4 linked regions of the Caenorhabditis elegans genome follow. The protein of the gene in region 1 interacts with the protein of each later gene in a pairwise test. Each region holds a gene or a part of one and is shown in the gene's direction. Other genes may lie near its edges.

Evidence for each region.
Region 2: the proteins of let-756 (region 1) and ftt-2 interact in binary tests that used the Caenorhabditis elegans proteins (3 or more experiments, as listed by UniProt).
Region 3: the proteins of let-756 (region 1) and kin-3 interact in binary tests that used the Caenorhabditis elegans proteins (3 or more experiments, as listed by UniProt).
Region 4: the proteins of let-756 (region 1) and rps-16 interact in binary tests that used the Caenorhabditis elegans proteins (3 or more experiments, as listed by UniProt).

What each region holds. Positions count from the first base shown.
Region 1 is NC_003281.10:6,405,467-6,411,394, forward strand, and holds let-756 (Protein let-756), read left to right. Parts: upstream 1-1,662; 5' UTR 1,663-1,670; coding exon 1,671-1,760; intron 1,761-2,028; coding exon 2,029-2,100; intron 2,101-2,149; coding exon 2,150-2,196; intron 2,197-2,402; coding exon 2,403-2,799; intron 2,800-3,102; coding exon 3,103-3,168; intron 3,169-3,212; coding exon 3,213-3,319; intron 3,320-3,370; coding exon 3,371-3,499; intron 3,500-3,756; coding exon 3,757-4,126; 3' UTR 4,127-4,567; downstream 4,568-5,928. Other genes in the region: C05D11.5 (Putative hydroxypyruvate isomerase), read right to left, coding at 4,635-4,813, 4,905-4,974, 5,060-5,288, 5,420-5,662. UniProt on the Caenorhabditis elegans protein: Required for larval development. Probably by binding receptor egl-15, negatively regulates membrane protrusion from body wall muscles during larval development.
Region 2 is NC_003284.9:11,602,983-11,608,014, reverse strand, and holds ftt-2 (14-3-3 domain-containing protein), read left to right. Parts: upstream 1-2,595; 5' UTR 2,596-2,634; coding exon 2,635-2,685; intron 2,686-2,734; coding exon 2,735-3,107; intron 3,108-3,382; coding exon of another isoform or gene 3,383-3,546; intron 3,547-3,574; coding exon 3,575-3,738; intron 3,739-3,803; coding exon 3,804-3,962; 3' UTR 3,963-4,307; downstream 4,308-5,032. UniProt on the Caenorhabditis elegans protein: Required for extension of lifespan by sir-2.1. Required to modulate lifespan, in concert with hcf-1, acting redundantly with 14-3-3-like protein par-5. Promotes nuclear export of yap-1.
Region 3 is NC_003279.8:10,731,764-10,737,390, forward strand, and holds kin-3 (Casein kinase II subunit alpha), read left to right. Parts: upstream 1-2,258; 5' UTR 2,259-2,275; coding exon 2,276-2,314; intron 2,315-2,379; exon of another isoform or gene 2,380-2,493; intron 2,494-2,557; coding exon 2,558-2,728; intron 2,729-2,787; coding exon 2,788-2,915; intron 2,916-2,964; coding exon 2,965-3,049; intron 3,050-3,108; coding exon 3,109-3,405; intron 3,406-3,862; coding exon 3,863-3,987; intron 3,988-4,042; coding exon 4,043-4,124; intron 4,125-4,321; coding exon 4,322-4,477; 3' UTR 4,478-4,852; downstream 4,853-5,627. Other genes in the region: rpn-10 (26S proteasome non-ATPase regulatory subunit 4), read right to left, coding at 1-91, 411-551, 603-628; mrpl-9 (Large ribosomal subunit protein bL9m), read right to left, coding at 875-1,030, 1,078-1,401, 1,450-1,574, 1,625-1,790, 1,836-1,895; nfs-1 (cysteine desulfurase), read left to right, coding at 4,986-5,054, 5,560-5,627. UniProt on the Caenorhabditis elegans protein: Casein kinases are operationally defined by their preferential utilization of acidic proteins such as caseins as substrates. The alpha chain contains the catalytic site. May participate in Wnt signaling.
Region 4 is NC_003283.11:14,999,324-15,002,833, reverse strand, and holds rps-16 (Small ribosomal subunit protein uS9), read left to right. Parts: upstream 1-2,292; 5' UTR 2,293-2,296; coding exon 2,297-2,446; intron 2,447-2,490; coding exon 2,491-2,775; 3' UTR 2,776-2,816; downstream 2,817-3,510. Other genes in the region: mut-15 (MUTator), read right to left, coding at 1-35, 85-121; fib-1 (rRNA 2'-O-methyltransferase fibrillarin), read left to right, coding at 866-905, 954-1,137, 1,185-1,735, 1,783-2,066; T01C3.11 (uncharacterized protein), read right to left, coding at 2,843-2,969, 3,013-3,140, 3,188-3,289.

The sequences.
Region 1 (5,928 bases):
AGAGTCTTTGTATCCTCATTGATTATCAATTATTATCTCACACGTTTCATCCTCGATTTCTTTCTTTTTCCTACATCAACTATTACTCATATTTTTCTTGATCTTTCTTCTGTCATATGATTTTTCGGGTACTATAGGATTTTAGTTTTCAAGTTTTCACACTCAGACATTTAAATATATTTCTAGATTCTCATAAATGGGTCTTGCCACGACTGTTCCGTATACCTATTCATGAAATACCGTATTCGGTTTATGCTTTTTTTCAATTAAGCATTTTTTAACATGTTTTCATTTTTCTAACAGTAAGACAATATAAATTTACTTCATTCCAGTATTCCAAAAAAACACTTATTTTTTTCCAAACTTACTTTTGTCAAACTAATCATCTACTTTTCACATATCCATCTCCACATACGTGAAAATGTGAATAATTCTTAACTTACCATGGAATTCGTAATTTCATGTTTGCTATAAATTTGAACCATATTATTATGTGTTATTTCTGCTCATTTTTTATCGAACGTCATTCTTAGTTCCTCAGAATAGTATCGCTTTCTACTATTTTTCCAAATGCATCATACTTTATTAGCTCAAATTTCATTCATTTTCGGAAGAGTATTGTTTGCGGGGGATGTTTTTTATTTACAAATATGACACTATTCTGGGAATCTCTACAAATTGGCATTTTTCCAAAATGGTATTTTTCTGTTATAGCCTAGAGATCCTACACATTTTGATGCTCTTTTCATTTATTTTGATCTATTTTTCCTCCTTTTTTGAAGTTTTTTTTTGTGTTTTTATTTTGAACAAATGTTATGAACAACTGTGTAAATATGATCTCAAAACTTTGTCGTCACTTGTGAAAATTTGTGATGATTCAATCGGTTCAAATCACTTTGCCAAAACTACATATGTTTTCTCGGAAAAAAAAACCGTTGTTGAAATTTTCCACAGATACACAAAAACTCCTAAATGCAGAGCCTACACCTGCCTCTTACCTACTCTAAAATCTGTTGAGTGAACCATAAGACATTTAAAGTTGAGCAACAACTTTTTTGGGAAAAATAAACATTTTGGAAATTTGCAAGCAAAATATGTGGCTTTTCACAAAAACTAGATTACAAAAAATACTTTCATATTTCTCAAAATTCTTAATCACTTTCTTATAAAAAATTTGTAATGTTATAAATTTTTGAACTTGTTGTATGATTATCGGATTTTAAATTAGTAGTATACTACTTTTTTCCAAATATAAAGATAGAATATTAATAATCTTCTTTCTTTTTAAAGTTTTTATTCAAAGATACTTCTAATGCCCCCGAACAAACTCTAAACTCTATTTTGCATCTTATTGAACTTGGTCATTGTGATCTGTTTCTATTTATCTGTTTTCTCAATAGACTCTCTTTCATTGTTGCATTCCTTCATTCCAATCTTACCGTTCTATTTGTTTTTTTTTCATCACAATTTTCCATTTTGCAAGAAAGCCTGAGCCTTCTCCCAACTGAGCCTGAGTGCAAACTCGTGCCAGAAAAGGAGTGGAGGCGGAGGTGAAGATTGTTTGCTCCCGAATCTCTGTACTTGCCCTTTTTCTCATTTATTGACTCTTACTTCCTCGTTCTTCAATATTTCCAAATCATTACAATTTCTTCAAATGTTCAGATGAATATATGGCCGTTCCTGCCGCCTCATCGATAGTTTCATACGGAGGAGCAGCCACTTCTAACTTTTTGACAACACCAGTTACACCTTTTCTTGCGGTAAGTTTACTTCTTTTAACCATAAATGTTTAATTTTTTAATTTTTTTTTGAATTAAGAACGTTTGGAAGTTCAAGCTATATGTACTCAAAATGTGAAAAAACCAAAAATTGAAATATTCATACAGTAACTTAAGAATCTGACACCTCTATGTTTTTTGGAAAAAATTATAGCACACTAGAAAATCTAGGATAATGTTTTTTTCTCCCACAAATTGATTACTTTTTCAAAGTTAAGATATGAACTGAAACTTAGAAATAAATTTTCAGGGATTCTATAATTCAAATTTTGTAACCGATCGTATAAATTCATGTGCTCCGTATCGAGTGGACCGGATCAGAGTGAGTTTGAAATTAGAGATACAGTTGTAAACTTGAAAATGGTTTCCAGAAACAACTACAAGATGAAGAAGAAAATGGGTATCCACCTGCTGATGAGTGAGTTTTTAAGCTTTTCAAACTTTTTGTAACAAGGGATCTCGGATTTTTTACTCAATTCTTGAAATTTGTTTTCTTTCACAGGGCAACGACAATTTATCAAAAACAACAAAAAACATTTTTTTAATCGAAGTGATCATGATCAAAAATTAAAACTTGCCAATGATTTCAAAGGCATTGCGTTTTTGACTAATTTCTACTTCCAGCCGTCGCCGCGGAGCCCTGTTTTGTCGTTCGGGAACCTGGTTGGAGATGCTTCCTATCGAAAATCCTGACGATGGATCGACACGTGTCAAAGTTCATGGAACAAAAGAGGAGAGTTCCAAATTCAGTATAGTGGAGTTTGTGTCAGTGGCAATGAGTCTTGTATCGATTCGAGGAGTTGAAACAAAGAATTTCATTTGTATGGATCCATCGGGGAAATTATATGCAACACCATCATCTAATTATTCAACAGAATGCGTTTTTCTCGAAGAAATGATGGAAAATTATTACAATTTATATGCGTCTTGTGCTTATGGTGACAGGTTTAATCCCTGGTATATTGAATTACGACGGAGTGGAAAACCAAGGAGAGGTCCTAATTCAAAAAAACGTCGGAAAGTAAGTGAAATATATACTCATTCTGCTTTGACAGCTCGTATCGGAGATATTATTACATTTTAGAAAAATAATTTTTAAAACCCGATTAAAGTATATTTTCGAGCATATGTTCGCAAGAAAATGTGGTTTTTACCAAAAATTAGAAGCTCGAGGTCTGGAACGAGCGAATATTTCCTGATATGTACATTAACTTTTCTCTCGTTTCAATAAGTTCCTACCGTACTCGCGGCTACTGTAGCTAGATACATAAAGAAATCCGTGTGCACTTTTTTTTGATTGAAATACATTATCCGTATATTTCAGGCGAGCCATTTTCTAGTTGTTCATCACGATCTTGACCGGTTACGAAGTCCCGTTCCAAATGGAAATGTGAGTTTTTTCGAGACATACAGTTTCAACTTTTTGATTTTCAGGACGTAACCGATCTGGTAGTTGCTTCACTCTTTCACCAACCTCCCAGTCATCCATTATTCCGACAGCAGACCGTTACAAAACCACCAAATCCACATCGTATTTCAAAGTAAGCATTTATATCAAAAGTATCAGATTAGAGCTAATGAAATTTTTGTAGTTTACGAGCAAAAGTGGAAATGACGAACCAAGCTGAGAAGCAAAGATTATTAGAAGAAAAGAAAAGACGAAGAGAAAAGAAGAAACGAAGGAGAGAAGATCGATTAAGAAAAGAGGAACAAATTAGAGAGTTAGTTATTATTCTGAGAAAAAGAAAGCGCAGAGAACTGAGAATTATTATGAAAGTATTGAAAAATAGCAGAACATTTTTTTGGTTTTTAAGATTTGAAGCCAGACTGAAATGGCTTTTTTTGGGTATCGTTCCGTTTCAGTTTTTGAGCGGCAAAAATAAATTCAATGCCAGGTAGCACAAAACTATTTGAAACATTTATGATGATTCCACGTGTGACTTTCCTAGATCTATACCAATTATCAAACGTATTTCAGAGCCCGTCGCCAAGAGCTCAAAAGTCTTCGTGAAGAAGAACTCCGACGTCGTTATCAACAACAACAGCAGCAACAAGCATCTACTCAAACTCGGTACAATCGTCCTCAAAATCCAGCGAATCCTTATCCAACGTATCGACCTCTTCCAACAAGATCAACAGTACAATCTCCACGACCTGCATACAATCCATATTGGCAGTCTCCAGTGACACAGGCTCCTCATCACAATTCCCATCACCATCATCATCACCATCCACGTGTCAGCTCTTCATCAGACCCTCAACAACGTCATCAATCACAACAACACTATCTAGCTCAGACAGTGTCAAATCCAAACCGTCAGAATGTTAACTATCAACGATACCCGTGAACGATCTCTCTTCTTATGATACCCCGCACAGCATCTATCATCATGATCTTCTCATTTTCTTTCCATTTCTTCCTGCCTTCTTTTGCTTAATTAATTTTTTATCAGGGCTGATTTTGAGAAGAAGCGCAGTACATTGTCGTGAAGTTCGTAAGGCACGGTGCTTTAGAAATGAAACCCTTTCTTGTGAATATTGAAACACACAACGAATTTTCTAATTTTCTATTTCTACCTTCATAATATTTCTGTATTAGACTCTTAAAATCACACCATGCTCTAAATACGACAATTTGCGTACACTACTGTTTTTCTTCCCAAGCTCGCCCCTTTTAAGTATGTTTTCCAAGTCTCTCTAAAACACCCCCAACTCGCCACGTGTCTCATTCCATACTCACGGGTTTTGTATTTTGAACATACTGTAACTTACTATTATGAATAATATATATTTGAAAAATATGTATTGTTATTTTAAAAAAATTATCAATGGAGCGAATTTACAAAGACAGGTAATTCAAAAACTTAGAGACATGTTCTCAATCCAATTGAATGAAGGCTTTGCATCCAAATATTCAGCACCAATAACCCATGATGGATTGATCGAACGGATTTCATCGAAAATAAAATGATAATCGATTTCTCCGCGTGTATCACATGCACCTCTATTTGGAACTTGAGCCACTTGAATATAGCCTGAAAAACTCGAAAAAAATCGACGAATGAAAAAGTAATTTCAGAAAAATAGGGCGTAAGCTTATTTTCATCATCATCCTTTTCAACTAACCAATATAATCTTTGAGCTTTCTCATAATTGCTCCAATTTGTCCGTTGATTTGTTGAGCGTGGAATGTGTCCTGAAAAATTACAGTTACTTTTCGAATTCTTATTTTCAAAAAAAATTGTGCATAAAATTCGATGTTTTATGTTCTATTGACTTACATATTGAATTTTCAAATTATTCGATTGATCCATTTGGATCACATCCATTGCATCTTCATAATTATTTAAGTGATATCCAGGAATAGTGTACTTATTGATTGGTTCAATGAGGCATATCAACTTGTGCTCCTTGAACTTTTCGGCGGCAAAACGCACATTTTCAGAATAGGTCTGATGAGCATTTTCCAAGTCATCATCCGATTTCGGAATTCCAGCCATTACGTGAACTCTGAAATTGTTTAGATTACTGTAGTTTGCACCGTTTGAAGTATTAATAAGATTTGAAAGACACTACGTACTCAATACATCACATCCAATGCACATTGTTCCTAATTTGAAATCCCTCTTTCCTCAACTGACCTACAACATCCAAGAGCCTTCGCATACTCAATCGCAGTATCCAAACTCTTTCTAAACTCCTTTTTCGCCGATTTCAAAGAAGCCAATCCTCTAAATCCGTCATCCCAATTCCCGGGCGGTGCATTGATCAAAGTATGTTTAAGATGATACTCATCAGCTGCTTCACGAAGTTTTTCGGCTGGCTCCGTGTAAGGAATGCTCACTTCGACAAGCTTGAAACCCGCGGAGGCGGCTGCTCCGTATCTGAAAAAAATTGTGTGCAAAATTTAGAAGAAGCATGTAAAGTCTTTTTTTTGACAATTTTTGCCGCGAAATTACGGTAGCCGATCTCAAAGCCAATTTTAAATGTGCGGATTTCAAGAGTACTGTAGTAATGAAAATTCGAATTCCAACACAGAGAATTTTTAGTTGCAATTGGAATTTTTAATGCAAGAAATATCGGGAAGTGACAACTACAGTAATCCTCAAAGGCGCAACATCGCTAAATTTTCAAATATCCGATAGCAAAA
Region 2 (5,032 bases), on another chromosome or scaffold:
AACAAAAAAAGAGATCGTCTTCTTCAATGTTATTCTACAAAACTGTAACACATGACGTTTTCGTAAATATAGTTACTATGAAGGCAGATGATACAGTCAACCTTTTTTTTTTAGTAAAACTAGAATCATCTGTGATCATGAATTGGAAATTGGATTGTTTTGAAAAGTAGGGGGACACTCTGCCAAATGCAGACCAATTTCAAAATTTTCCAATTTTCATATCCCACGCGACGTTGTTGTTCACTTGGCCAGTAATCGAATGACTGGTTGAATAAATGAAAACATGCAAACTGTGAAATTTTCTCACCGTGCAGATTCACAGAACTGCTAAATATTCTGCTAACCAAGAACAGATAGGAAGTCGAGACAGAGTGTAAGCATCAATGATTACTCATGAATATTACATTAGGGAGTATTATGCACTTTGACTTTATGAGCTTATATCCTATTTCACATGATCATTCATTTCTCATTTTCTGTTAGTCTGAAGTCTCAATATCTAAGTATCGAAGTCTCATTGAGCCAAGTTGTAAAGAAAGTTGAAATCTGCACACACACACACACATAGAGAAGAATTTTAAATTAAATGCTTCCCCCGAATTGAATTGTAAAGTGGTCGTAATAAAGAAAACTACAAACATCCTTCCATCTCTCAGAGGACCTTCAGAAAGAAAGAACATTTGAAAAATGACCAGCAGGTGGTGCCTTGTTCAAAACAATTTGGAGTCTGGGCACAACCTTGACCAAACATCTAATAGGTTCCCACGACTTCACTGCTCCGTCGGCCGCTAATCCTGAAATGGCCAAAAATGAAAAGCCCATTTTGGTAATTGGGGCAGTCTGAGAAATGCGAATAAATATATTTAGAAACGTATTTTTCAAATTGAAGGTGGGTTCACTGGTTTTTGAATCTTTCCCGTAAGACAACAGTTCTCATTGATGAGTAAGAGTATACCTCACTGCACGGTGAAAGAAGATGTGGAATAGATAAGACGTAAATTGCGTTGAAGGTCTCTGTATAGTTGCGCACCACACCACGCATCTGTTGTTCCTAATTCTGTTTTGATAGAATGGGGTTTGAAAGGTTTCGGGATAGGAAGAATGAAGATGTACATGTACTTCCTCGAAAATCGGAAGTGAAGACAACAAAAATGAAGATCAAACAACAGTCGGATGTGTTCCGCGACACCAATTCTAATTGATATGGATGTTTGTACAAAATACCAGTTACAGTTTCAGAAACATCAGGAAAAATTACAGATACTATTGTAATAAACATTTTTGTAAAATTCTACATATGAATTAATGAAAAGAATGAATAGAACCTGGCCTTATATGTAGTTTAGAATTGTAAATTTATCATGCTAATTATTTTTCTGAATCTCCTTTGTAATTTAAGGCAAATACCAGGCACTTTCAAGTTAAGTAACACGATTATCAGCCTGTTTTGCCTGCATGTTTACGCGCCCTGCATATTCGATCCTAGGCTGTTGTGAAGCGAGAGCCAACCGCATCAGCTCCGAGCCTCCGAGCCCACCGCCGCTGGTCATTGATTTAGAACAAGTCTGCAGCGGTCGTCAAAGTAGCCCCCAAAGCGCTGCCGCATTGTTTGAATTTGCTCCAAGTTTCCAGAAACATCCAGGAACATGCAAGAATCATCATTTAACTTTGAAAACGGCAAGCTTCTGTAGTCACATTTTCAAATTTTCAGACCATACATTACTCAAGATAATTTGAAGGTAAATTATGGCCCAAAGAGTTATGGTGAGCGCTCTTTCTATTTGAATAACAGAGCGACTTCAAATGACGACCGAGCGCCTGGTGGGTGGGCAAAAGGCAGCCCCCTAGAAGCCTCCGCATGTCCGATGTTTTCGTCCTATTTTCTGCACAAAAATATTCAAAGTTCAAGATTTTAGGCCGAGTTTCTAGTCAACTAAAAGCCCGGAAAAAGACGAACCCGAATATCTAATTTTCATCTAATATATCTGAAATTATGTTGACTTCCTTCAAAGAAGAAATGTGGTGCGCGCTCTTGTTGACACATTGCGAAAGAGACCCTTTATGAGTCGTAGGAGGCGGCGGTTTTCTGTTGGCAGCCCCCTCGAATCACTCCGCAATTGTGTGTTTGTAGCGCGCCAAACGGCTCTTTTTAAACACAGATATCAAAACTTATATTTTCTTCACTTTAGCTGATGAAACAGACTTTCCCCTCTCAGAATATATAATTTTTATTCTGAAATTCGCAGTTTGAATGGTTTTTACAGACCCTAAAATGATGGTGCGCGCTCCTTTCGGCAGATAGGGAGAGACGCACAGAAAACGAGAGGGAGGGCTGGGAGGGGTGCCGCTCACTCTGTTCAACATTACTCGCTCGACAACGTCCTTCTCGTTTCTTCTTGATGCATTGTGTATACTTCTACAAGGGCTCATACGCCTCGTGTTAGAAGAGATGAAAATGTCCCATCAGTTTCATATCATATAAGAATACGGAAAGGAGCCATTCTTTGCTTTCTTCAAACAATCTTCATTTGTTTACCGCCCTCTTTCTTCTCTTTCTCATTTGACCTTTTTGTATCAAACTCTTTATATTCTCGTTTTTCAGTGACTCATCCACTTCAAGCAACTAAATCAACTATGTCTGACGGAAAGGAAGAGCTCGTGAACCGCGCCAAGCTTGCCGAGCAGGTATGTAGATGTCTCAGGATGTTCTTGAATACTAAAACTTTAATTTCAGGCTGAGCGTTACGACGACATGGCCGCATCCATGAAGAAGGTCACCGAGCTGGGAGCTGAGCTCTCCAACGAGGAGCGCAATCTTCTCTCCGTTGCCTACAAGAACGTCGTCGGAGCCCGTCGTTCTTCATGGAGAGTCATCTCTTCAATTGAGCAGAAGACCGAAGGATCTGAGAAGAAGCAACAAATGGCCAAGGAATACCGTGAGAAGGTTGAGAAGGAGCTCCGCGACATCTGCCAAGACGTTCTCAACTTGCTCGACAAGTTCCTCATTCCAAAGGCTGGAGCCGCCGAGTCCAAGGTCTTCTACCTCAAGATGAAGGGAGACTACTACCGTTACCTCGCTGAGGTCGCCTCCGGAGACGACAGAAACTGTAAGTGATTGAAAATGATGACTGTAATTGGGACATAACCGTGCACTCGTTTCTAACCCTCATTCGTAAGCTATGCATCCTTGTGTGAAGTGTGGAAAGATATCATAGGGAAGACAGAGAACGGGAGTTCAGGCGCGACCCAATTCCACATCGATGCGTAGTTTTTGAAAATAAACTCTAGGGCAGCTCATTGGGGGTTCTCCTCTAGGGAGTTCTGCCTCTCATAGTCATACTCGTTTCAAAGAAGACCAGAAATGAATATTCCTTCTTTGCAGCGGTTGTCGAGAAGTCGCAGCAAAGCTACCAAGAGGCGTTCGACATTGCCAAGGATAAGATGCAACCAACTCACCCAATCCGCCTGGGACTTGCTCTCAACTTCTCTGTCTTCTTCTATGAGATCTTGAACGCCCCGGACAAGGCTTGCCAGCTTGCCAAGCAGGTGTGTTAATGTTTTTATTTTATTTTAGCAGTAGCCAACATTGGACAAACGGCTTACGCGGAGGCACTTGAAATTGCAAATAAAGATCTGTCACCAACGAACTGTGTTCGCCTTGGTCTTGCACTCAATTATTCGGTGTTTTTTTATGAAGTAGCAGCAAGCCCGGATAGAGCATGCCAGCTTTCCAAGCAGGTGCTCGTTAAGTTTTTGACATAGCATCGTAACTTCAAAGCTATTGATTACCTTTAATCTTTCAGGCTTTCGATGACGCCATCGCTGAGCTCGACACCCTCAACGAGGACTCATACAAGGACTCTACCCTCATCATGCAGCTTCTCCGTGACAACTTGACTCTCTGGACCTCGGACGCTGCCACCGATGACACTGATGCCAACGAGACAGAGGGAGGCAACTAACTCCTTCACACCGACACGTTACCGCCACACACCCCTCACCTCGATCTTGAAAATGATAAATAATACTATTTGTCATATGATTTATTTATTACCATTGACTAGTTAAACCATCGTTTTTCTTTCCATTTTTTTCTATAAATTCATCAATCACTCCCCTTTTCCCATCAACCAAATGCAGAAGTTATTCAAATTTCTGTGCTGAGCCCACTCATCAAAACTTCCCGTCTCTACCCATACAATTCAATGTTCCGTTTTGTTACGGCTTTTCCCCCTTTCAAATCTCGACATTCGAAACACCCCCAAGCTTTTGAATACACATAATAAAGTTGTAACACCAACTTCAATATGAGAAATTAACGCAGATAATCACGTCGAAGAAATATTAAGAGGGGAGGATTCCGATTGACATCCAAATGTATAAAAATTAGTGCAATTGAACAAAGTTCGAATGAGAAAAGAAAACTGAAACGAACGTTTTCTTTTAGCGACATCTTGTTATTGCAGGTTGTTCTTCCTTAACCAAGATAACTACTACGTCTTAGGCACTTGCTAAGGTTCAATTCAAAATTTATTTCATTTATTATAGATATGAACAAAGATGAAAACTAGAATTTAATGTTCATATTCATTGAGGAATAAGAAAAGGTGGAGTCCTGGATTAAATCTCCGGTACATGACACTTTCATAGGTTTATTTCTAGTTAAATTGGCTTTACAGATATAGCAAAATTTTGGTTAGTGACATACTTGAAAACTACTTATTTGGACGGGTAGGTTTCATTTGCAACGCCAGGTGGCGGCGCCAGCTAACAACCAAAAAATTGGGGTTTTTACAGCCGATAATATAAGGAGTGGTAATTGGTACACTGGTAATTGAGATAGTTCTATGCAGAAAGAGCAGGGTTTTGGGAACGAGCTACTTTTGTACCACTTTACAATTAAATGAACATTTGTGCTTTAGTTGAAAAGTTTGAAAGCCGAATACATAAGAATACCAAAAACAATTTCGAAAATTGTCATGTTTTTTTTGAAGAAGAAGAAGAAGTCCTGTTGTTTTGAATGCAGTTTTAA
Region 3 (5,627 bases), on another chromosome or scaffold:
AAAGTTGCATTTTCCGAATGGCTCAATGGAATGATTCTTCATCATCAAACGTCCTTGTTCTGTGGACAGACTTGACAATACTTGAACACTGCTGAAAAGGAAAACATTGAAAAATTTCATGTGTTACCGGAAATCAGTGATTTTTGCGCCAAAAAACGGTACTGGGTCTCGACAGGACATTTTTCGCTAAATACAAACGGATGTGCACCTTTAAAGAATACTGTAACTTCAAACGTTGTTACTGAATTTTCATCGATTTTCCAATGAAAATTCTAGAACGGCGAAAGTTTGAAACTACCGTACTCCTCAAAGGGGCACACCTTTTTGCATTTAACAAAATATCTTCGTGTCGAGACCAGGTACCGTCATTTTAGCGCAAAAAAACGTTCGAGTTTGAGTAATATACGAACTTTGCCATTGACAGAATTCCAACAGCATTCTCCGGATTGGCACGCAACTTGCATTGTGTAACAAGATTTACTGCATCCTGTTGAGATTGGAGCCGAGTTGGTTGGAAATCTCCGTTGCGCATGTATTCCGAATTGTCGACACTGAAAAGTAAATAATATTGCCATTGTTCGTATTATTCAAGAAAAACTCACCAAATCATAGTACTTTCTTGAACCATTTTGGAAATGTGTTGAGCACCTTTGTATGAACTCTGTAGAATGTGAGAAATAAAATTAAATTTAAAACAGTTTGACGAATAAATGAAGGAAGATATTAAACGGTGATTAAACCGTGAGCAAATAAATTAAAAATTATTTGAAGAATCAAATACAAATAAAATCGATTTTTTTCAAACAACAAAACAAGAATAACAAAAATAAAGAATTGAAACACATTAAATCTAGTCTGATTGATTATTAGAATTCTAATGTGGAGTTGTTGGTGCATGCTCTTTCATGTGCTCGAAAATTGGGAAATCTTCCGTGAAATCGTTATTTTTACTGTACAATGGGAACTCTTTTCGGATGGAATATCGAGCCAATTCCTCGTCACGTGGTGTTGTCAGTGTAGGAGAAATCATCTGAAAAAGGGAAATTCAATAATTTTCTACAACTTTTCAATCTTTACCTGTTTGGATTCATCTACTGAAATATGTGTAATCCTTCCTAACATAGGAACAATGTATTGTTGATTTACAACAACGTAGAATCGGAATAGTTTTGCTTCGATATCAAAATTCGGGCCAGAAATTGGTTTAGCGGCGAGGAAAATTGTATTTTCAGCAACGAAAACTCCCATTTGACGAAGTGAGCTTTTTACAAGATTCCTATCAATCGTCCATTGATTTTCCATATTAACTTTGATTGGAATGACCATTTTTTGCAAATCTCGTCCAACCACTTTGAGCTCATATGGAATTCTGATTCGAGAAGCAAGTTCTTCAGCCATTCGCTGAAATTATTATTTGATTGAAAAATATAAATTAACATTAAAACCCACTGTTTTCATATCTGAATAGTACTTTAAATCAAACGGCGACGCGTAGACGGCTTTTTTAGATAATAGTAAATCCTTTCGGGCCAAAGTCCGATCCACACTAACCACATCGAACTGATGGCCAATTCCTGTAAAAATGAATTTTTTACATTTGCTTTCTTTTATTTTAAAAAACTACCTTCAACATCTTGAAGTAAAATCACATTAATCGGACCAGCGGATTTTTGTGTTTCGAACTCAACAACTTCGTATTTCTGGTAATCGTGGAAATCATTGGGATTTTTCTGTACTCCGCCGGGCGGTGTGACTTCTGGTTGGAATACTCGGCGCAATACCCATGTGTTCTGAAGAAAAACATAAAATAACTTATTAATTGCTTCAGAACTTACTCGGCTTGCCTGGCGATTAATATGTTGCACAAATCGATGAAGCTGTGAAGCTGAAAGCATAATTACCTGAAAATATCAATTTTAATTAAGTGTTTCGCTGAAAATAAAGTGATTTCATTCTAAAATACAGAAATAGATGAGAAAAGAAAATGCGCGCCGTTGTCGATGATGACAAATTTAAAGGCACACCGACTTTCGCAGCGGGAATATCTCACCACGCACGAGTTCACATTTGGTTTTTTCTCTGCGCTCTCTCGCATTTGCGTACTCTTTTCATGTTCTGGCATGTATTTTCAAAATTATTCGGGTTTTATCAGTTTTCCCGAGATTTTACTATTTCTACTGAAAATTTCGTTCTAATAATTCAATTATAACAGCCGTTTTGTCAAAACTTGCTCAAAAATAACGTGTTACTTGTTTCAGATCGTTATTCTTGGGAAATGCCTCCGATTCCTAGCCGGGCGAGGGTCTACGCCGAGGTGAGCAAGTTTGTATAGCCAGGAGTTAATTATTGAACAGAATATATTGCTCATACATAACTCACAATGACGGAATTAACGTTATCCGTTTAGTTGTGGAATACTGTGAAACACTGTACGCCACATTTGTTAGATTTTATAAATGTTCATAGGAATTTATAGTCTCGTAAAGAAAAACTATTTGTAAAAGTCACTAAATTATGTTTTTATGAGTTTATATATTATAAATCACAATTGTTTCAGGTGAATCCGTCGAGACCACGCGAGTACTGGGACTATGAGGCTCACATGATCGAATGGGGACAAATCGATGATTATCAGCTGGTACGCAAGTTGGGACGTGGAAAATATTCGGAGGTTTTTGAAGGATTCAAGATGAGCACTGACGAGAAAGTTGTTGTCAAGATTCTCAAGGTAAGTTTTACAAAAATAATTGTAATAAAGCTTTCAAAATGTAATTTGTTTGTTTTCAGCCAGTCAAAAAGAAGAAGATCAAGCGTGAGATTAAAATTTTGGAGAATCTTCGTGGCGGGACAAACATCATCACCCTCCTCGACGTCGTCAAGGATCCTATTTCGAGAACTCCGGCTCTTATTTTCGAGTTGGTTTACTATTTGAAGATTTTTAGAATTAATAATTTCTATTTGAAGGCATGTTAACAATTCGGACTTCAAGCAATTGTATCAAACCCTCAGTGACTATGATATCCGTTACTACCTCTACGAGCTCTTGAAGGTACTTTTTTCAGCTGTCCATTAATTTTTGAATTCATAACGTTTCAATTTATTCTCCAGGCTCTCGACTTCTGCCATTCTCAAGGAATTATGCACAGAGATGTTAAGCCGCACAATGTGATGATTGACGCCGAAAAACGGGAACTTCGATTAATAGATTGGGGATTAGCCGAATTCTATCATCCAAGACAGGACTATAATGTTCGTGTTGCTTCTAGATATTTCAAGGGACCCGAGCTTCTTGTCGATTATCAATGTTACGATTATTCGTTGGATATGTGGAGTTTGGGATGCATGTTGGCTAGTATGATCTTCAGGAAGGAACCATTCTTCCACGGCCATGATAACTACGATCAGGTAAGCACTTTAAGCTGAAGTAGCAAAGAACCGCAAATCCACAAATTTCATTAAAATCCAATATTGGAATATAGAAAACATTTGATTTATCTGATTATGGCTTTTATTTCAGTGAGAACAATGGGGAAAAACGCTTAAAAAATTACCGGAAAGTTTAAAATTTCCGAAAAAAACCGAAAATTTTCCAATTTTGAGCATTTTTCAATTGTTCCAGCTGCAAAAAACTATTTTCAGATAAAGAAATTATTTTTTTGAATTCCATAGCTAAAATTTTACTGATAAGTTTGGCTTATTCCGTAGAATTTCTTGCCGGCGATTGATTCGCACCCCTGAGCTGAAATTTAAATGAATAAATAATATTGTCAGGTATTTATTAAATATTCATCAATAATTTTTATGATTTTTAATATTTTATAAATTCACGAAATCTGATTTTCTTATAAAAAGTTTTTTGCAGCTAGTCCGCATTGCAAAGGTATTGGGAACTGATGAGCTTTACGAGTACATTGCGAGATATCACATTGATCTCGATCCACGCTTCAACGATATTCTCGGGCGACACTCAAGAAAACGCTGGGAAAGGTATATTTTGATCGAAGCGAAGTTTCATGTTTTTCTTAAAATTCATTTGTTGTAGATTTATCCACGCTGAAAATCAACATCTTGTCACCCCAGAGGCTCTTGATTTCCTTGATAAACTTCTTCGCTACGATCACGCGGTAAGAATCGGAAAAAAGAGAAATTACACCAAATTAGTTACTGAAAACCAGTTTTAACAAGAACACAGAGAAATAAAAACAATTTTCACTTGTTTTATTGAAAAAAAAGACATTTGATACTCGAAACTAACTATAAATACTTTTATTTGTTAAATTAATTTATTTCCAGAACTTTTAATAAATTTCACCATATTCAGGAACGCCTAACTGCTCAAGAGGCCATGGGTCACGAATACTTCCGCCCAGTTGTTGAAGCACATGCTCGTGCCAATGGAACTGAACAAGCTGACGGACAGGGTGCATCGAATTCCGCTTCTTCTCAATCCTCCGATGCCAAAATTGACGGCGCTTAAAATTTCTTTCTATTTTTTTTTTAATTTTCCTGTTGACTATTTCCTTTTTTATTAATTTCCACACCACTCCTCTCCATCATTATTCCTTTGCTCTAAAAATTGGCTAAGATATTAAATCTTCCCCGCTTCTCCGAAAATTTCCCTCTACGTACCACAAAAGTGCCTAATCTTTTCGTGAGAAACGTTCTTTGCAAATTCTATTTTTAGGATTTTTTTGTGTAATTCATGCCTCTGAAATTCCGTTTCAATTTTAAATCTTTTTTGTCCCATTTCATATTGTTCTCCTTCTTCTCCCCTTTCCTCTTCCTCAAACAACCACAATCATCATTTTTATAAATCGAATCACAGTTCGTGAGAAAAAAAACTGTTACTTGTAATCAATATTGTCTTTGGTTTGAAAAACCTACTATTGTTCCTATGTTGAGTTGTGAACTATGTTCACTTTTAGAGTTTTAGATTTAAAATGCTCAACGGACGAGTGCTCCTTCGATCGATTGCTCGCCGGACAATGGCATCGAAAATTGAGCCAGGATCTCCGCAGCCGATTTATTTGGATGTTCAGGCTACCGCGCCAATGGTAATTAAATGGAAATAATAAAGCATGATTAAAAATAATATAAAAAACTTGTATCTGGAAAAAATTAACGAAACTTTTCAGATACAATTTAGATTTCGAATGAGTTTTTTTCTAACCTAGGCACAGTTTAAGCTAGTAGGCATTCTAAAATTGCGGCTTATGGCCTAAAAAGGGCCTAAGCGAACAAAACCAGCAATAAATTATGATAATTATATGAAAACTGATTTACGACAGCGCTGCGACACTGAAAATATGACATTTTACAATACTTTGAACCCATATAATATTTTTTTTTTTATTTTTCATAAATTTTCAGAACATTTCATTGCGAAATTCAGTAGTTTGAGACCATTTTTGGTATTTAAAAAACCAATTTCTCAGTTTTCGGTTCTCTAAATGTGACTAAATTATTTTATTTCCAATTTAAGTGAAATCGTAGCTTAAGAAACTAGGAAAAAAATGTGCTGGGATTTTTTTTGAAATTCCAAATTTTAATATTTTACAGGATCCTCGAGTAGTCGACGCAATGCTTCCCTATATGATCAATGATTTCGGAAATCCTCATTCAAGAAC
Region 4 (3,510 bases), on another chromosome or scaffold:
GCCCAATCCATCAAGATCAAAAGCATTCACGACACCTGAAATGAATAAAATAAATATCCCATTTAGCTCATCAAAAATTGTCACCCATGCTACATATGCCGATTCCATTGGAGTTATCCATTTCTTTGATACTTATCTAAATACTTCCATTCAAATCCTGTTATTTAAACCCGTGCGCGATATCTGAACAACTCCGGAGTGTTTTTCAATGCTCGACTCGCTCCAGCAATCGATAAACAGAATGGGAATCGGTTTCGCTGCGTTCAAAACATCGGCCGGAATATTCTGGTTTCTGAGACAACGAAACGTGAAACATCTATCAAGTTTTCAACCTTTTTTCGAAGCCATGATTAGTATCATAATTTAAAACCTGTTTTTTTGCTTGACGTTTTTGCATATTTCAATCAAAACCACCTTTCATATCGCTTTGATTTTCAATTTTAGAACAAAGCCCCGCCTACAATTGCCTGATTTCGTTCTACGCGAGCTGTTTGCTTGCGAATCGATAAAGTGTCGGTTGTGTGGCAAGTGCGCTCCACTGTGCAGGTCTCGCAGCGATTGCCATTTTCCACCGTAGTTCCCTCCAATGTCTTCTCCATTTTCGTAATTTTTTGGTTCGCCCAAATTTTTTTTCGTCATTTTTTGCCTGAAATGTTCGTTTCTTCTCAATTTTTCTTGGATTTTAAGAGTAGATTTGAGAATAGTGGATGATTCTAGTCGATTCAGATCGACTGGAGCGTGATTTAAATCCATGACTCTAAGTGAAATGGGATAATTCTCAATCTTACTCGGCTCTCCCACGGCTGAGGTATGTATTTTTCGTAATTTCGCTTTTCGTTTTTGTTAAATAATCGATTTTTGTAGTATGGGACGTCCAGAGTTCAATCGTGGCGGCGGCGGCGGAGGTAAACTGAATTTCAGGATTTTTTCGTATTATAAATATTATTTTTCAGGTTTCCGAGGTGGACGCGGTGGAGACCGTGGTGGTAGCAGAGGTGGATTTGGAGGCGGTGGTCGTGGAGGATATGGCGGAGGTGATCGTGGCAGTTTCGGTGGAGGTGATCGCGGAGGCTTCAGAGGAGGACGCGGAGGTGGAGACCGCGGTGGTTTCCGTGGAGGAAGAGGCGGTGGTGATCGGTTTGTGTTTTATAATTCTGTTCGCCATCAAAACGATAATTTTTCAGAGGTGGTTTTGGTGGCCGTGGATCACCAAGAGGAGGATTCGGAGGACGTGGATCTCCAAGAGGCGGAAGAGGATCACCACGTGGTGGACGCGGAGGAGCCGGTGGAATGCGAGGAGGAAAGACTGTCGTTGTCGAACCACATCGTCTCGGTGGAGTATTCATCGTGAAAGGAAAGGAAGATGCTCTTGCCACAAAGAACATGGTTGTGGGAGAGTCCGTGTACGGAGAGAAGAGAGTGTCCGTCGATGACGGAGCTGGCTCAATCGAGTACCGTGTGTGGAATCCATTCCGTTCTAAGCTCGCTGCTTCCATCATGGGAGGATTGGAGAACACTCACATCAAGCCAGGAACCAAACTTCTCTATCTCGGAGCTGCTTCTGGAACTACTGTTTCCCATTGTTCTGACGTCGTTGGACCAGAAGGAATCGTTTATGCTGTTGAGTTCTCTCACAGATCTGGACGTGACCTTTTGGGAGTTGCCAAGAAGAGACCAAACGTTGTCCCAATTGTCGAAGATGCCAGACATCCACACAAGTACCGCATGCTTGTCGGTAAGTATTAAATTTAAGCATTTTTGTGTTTAATATTTATATTACAGGAATGGTCGATGTCATCTTTTCTGATGTTGCTCAGCCAGATCAAGCTCGTATTGTTGCTCTCAATGCCCAAAACTTCCTTCGCAACGGTGGACATGCCGTCATCTCTATCAAAGCTAATTGCATTGACAGTACTGCTGAGCCCGAGGCTGTATTTGCTGGTGAAGTCAACAAGCTGAAGGAGGAGAAGTTCAAGCCACTTGAGCAGGTAACCCTGGAGCCGTATGAGAGAGACCACGCTGTCGTGGTTGCTGTCTACCGCCCAGTCAAGGGAAAGAAGGTCTGATCTCCAAAATCATCGTTACATTTTTTTGTTTTGTTATTTTGTTACATGTATACCTCCATCTTGATCGTTAACACTTGTTTTACTTGTTTCCCAATAAAATGTTGTTGATGCTGTCATGTTAGGGATGTTTTACTTTTATCTTTACTTGGTTCTCAACCTTGCCGATATTTCTATTCTACTTTAATTGTAACCTTTATTTTGTTCTTTGTTTAATATATTATTACAGGGTAATGACGTCTACCGTGCAATCGGTTCAGACCTTCGGGCGCAAGAAGACTGCCACCGCTGTCGCTCACTGCAAAAAGGGACAAGGACTTATCAAGGTCAACGGTCGCCCACTTGAGTTCTTGGAGCCACAGATCCTGCGCATCAAGCTTCAGGTTTTTGTTCCGACATTAAATTCCAACTAACTTGTATTTTTCAGGAGCCACTTCTCCTCGTCGGAAAGGAACGCTTCCAGGATGTCGACATCAGAATCCGTGTTAGCGGTGGAGGACACGTTGCCCAGATCTACGCTGTCCGTCAAGCCCTTGCCAAGGCTCTCGTTGCCTACTACCACAAGTACGTTGACGAGCAGAGCAAGAGAGAATTGAAGAACATCTTCGCCGCTTACGACAAGTCCCTTTTGGTTGCTGACCCAAGACGCCGTGAGTCCAAGAAGTTCGGTGGACCAGGAGCCCGCGCTCGCTACCAGAAGTCTTACCGTTAAATTCTTTTTGTTGCACAATAAAATTGTTATTGAAAAAAAAGATTTATGAGATCGAATTTAAAAAGATTTAGAAAGTGAAGCTGAGCAAAAGCATATCAAGGACAAAAATGAATAGTATTCCGGCGATGAGGTCCAATCTTGAGTGTTTAGTTTTTCTCGTGTAGGCAACTTCGAATTGTTGTATTGGTTTAGAGCTTAAAATTCAATCTTATTCTGGTATGGTATAGAAACACTCACCAAATGCACTCAGTTTGAACTTCGCTGATTCCCGTTCCGTTTATTGTACACGTTGATCTCTTCTGCCGAGCACGACTACATCGAAAATCACAACATGAGTTGAACATTTCACATGACGAATAGTCTGCCTGAAATATTGGCAGAATTTTTTCAGGATGAGCTAAACATTTCAAACCTTTGATATGCATTCCTGCGTGTAGACTTTTAAGGATGCTTCAGTGTTTGATACTAAACATGGAATCAGGCAGGCTGGAATAATGATGGCAGTTATTCGCATTATAAAATATCTGAAATTAAGATATGCTCCTTCTGCTAGACTGGATATAAATTGAGAAAGTAAATCTACAGAGAGATTGCAGTGGAGTCAATGTTTGAGCAGAGTTCAGCATACAACAATCGCTAATTTGACAGTTTTCTCTGCTTCTTTCAATTGTGAACTAGTATTGAGCTAGATTGAAAAACCAATTAATCAATTTTTCAGGAACTGCAATCAAACAC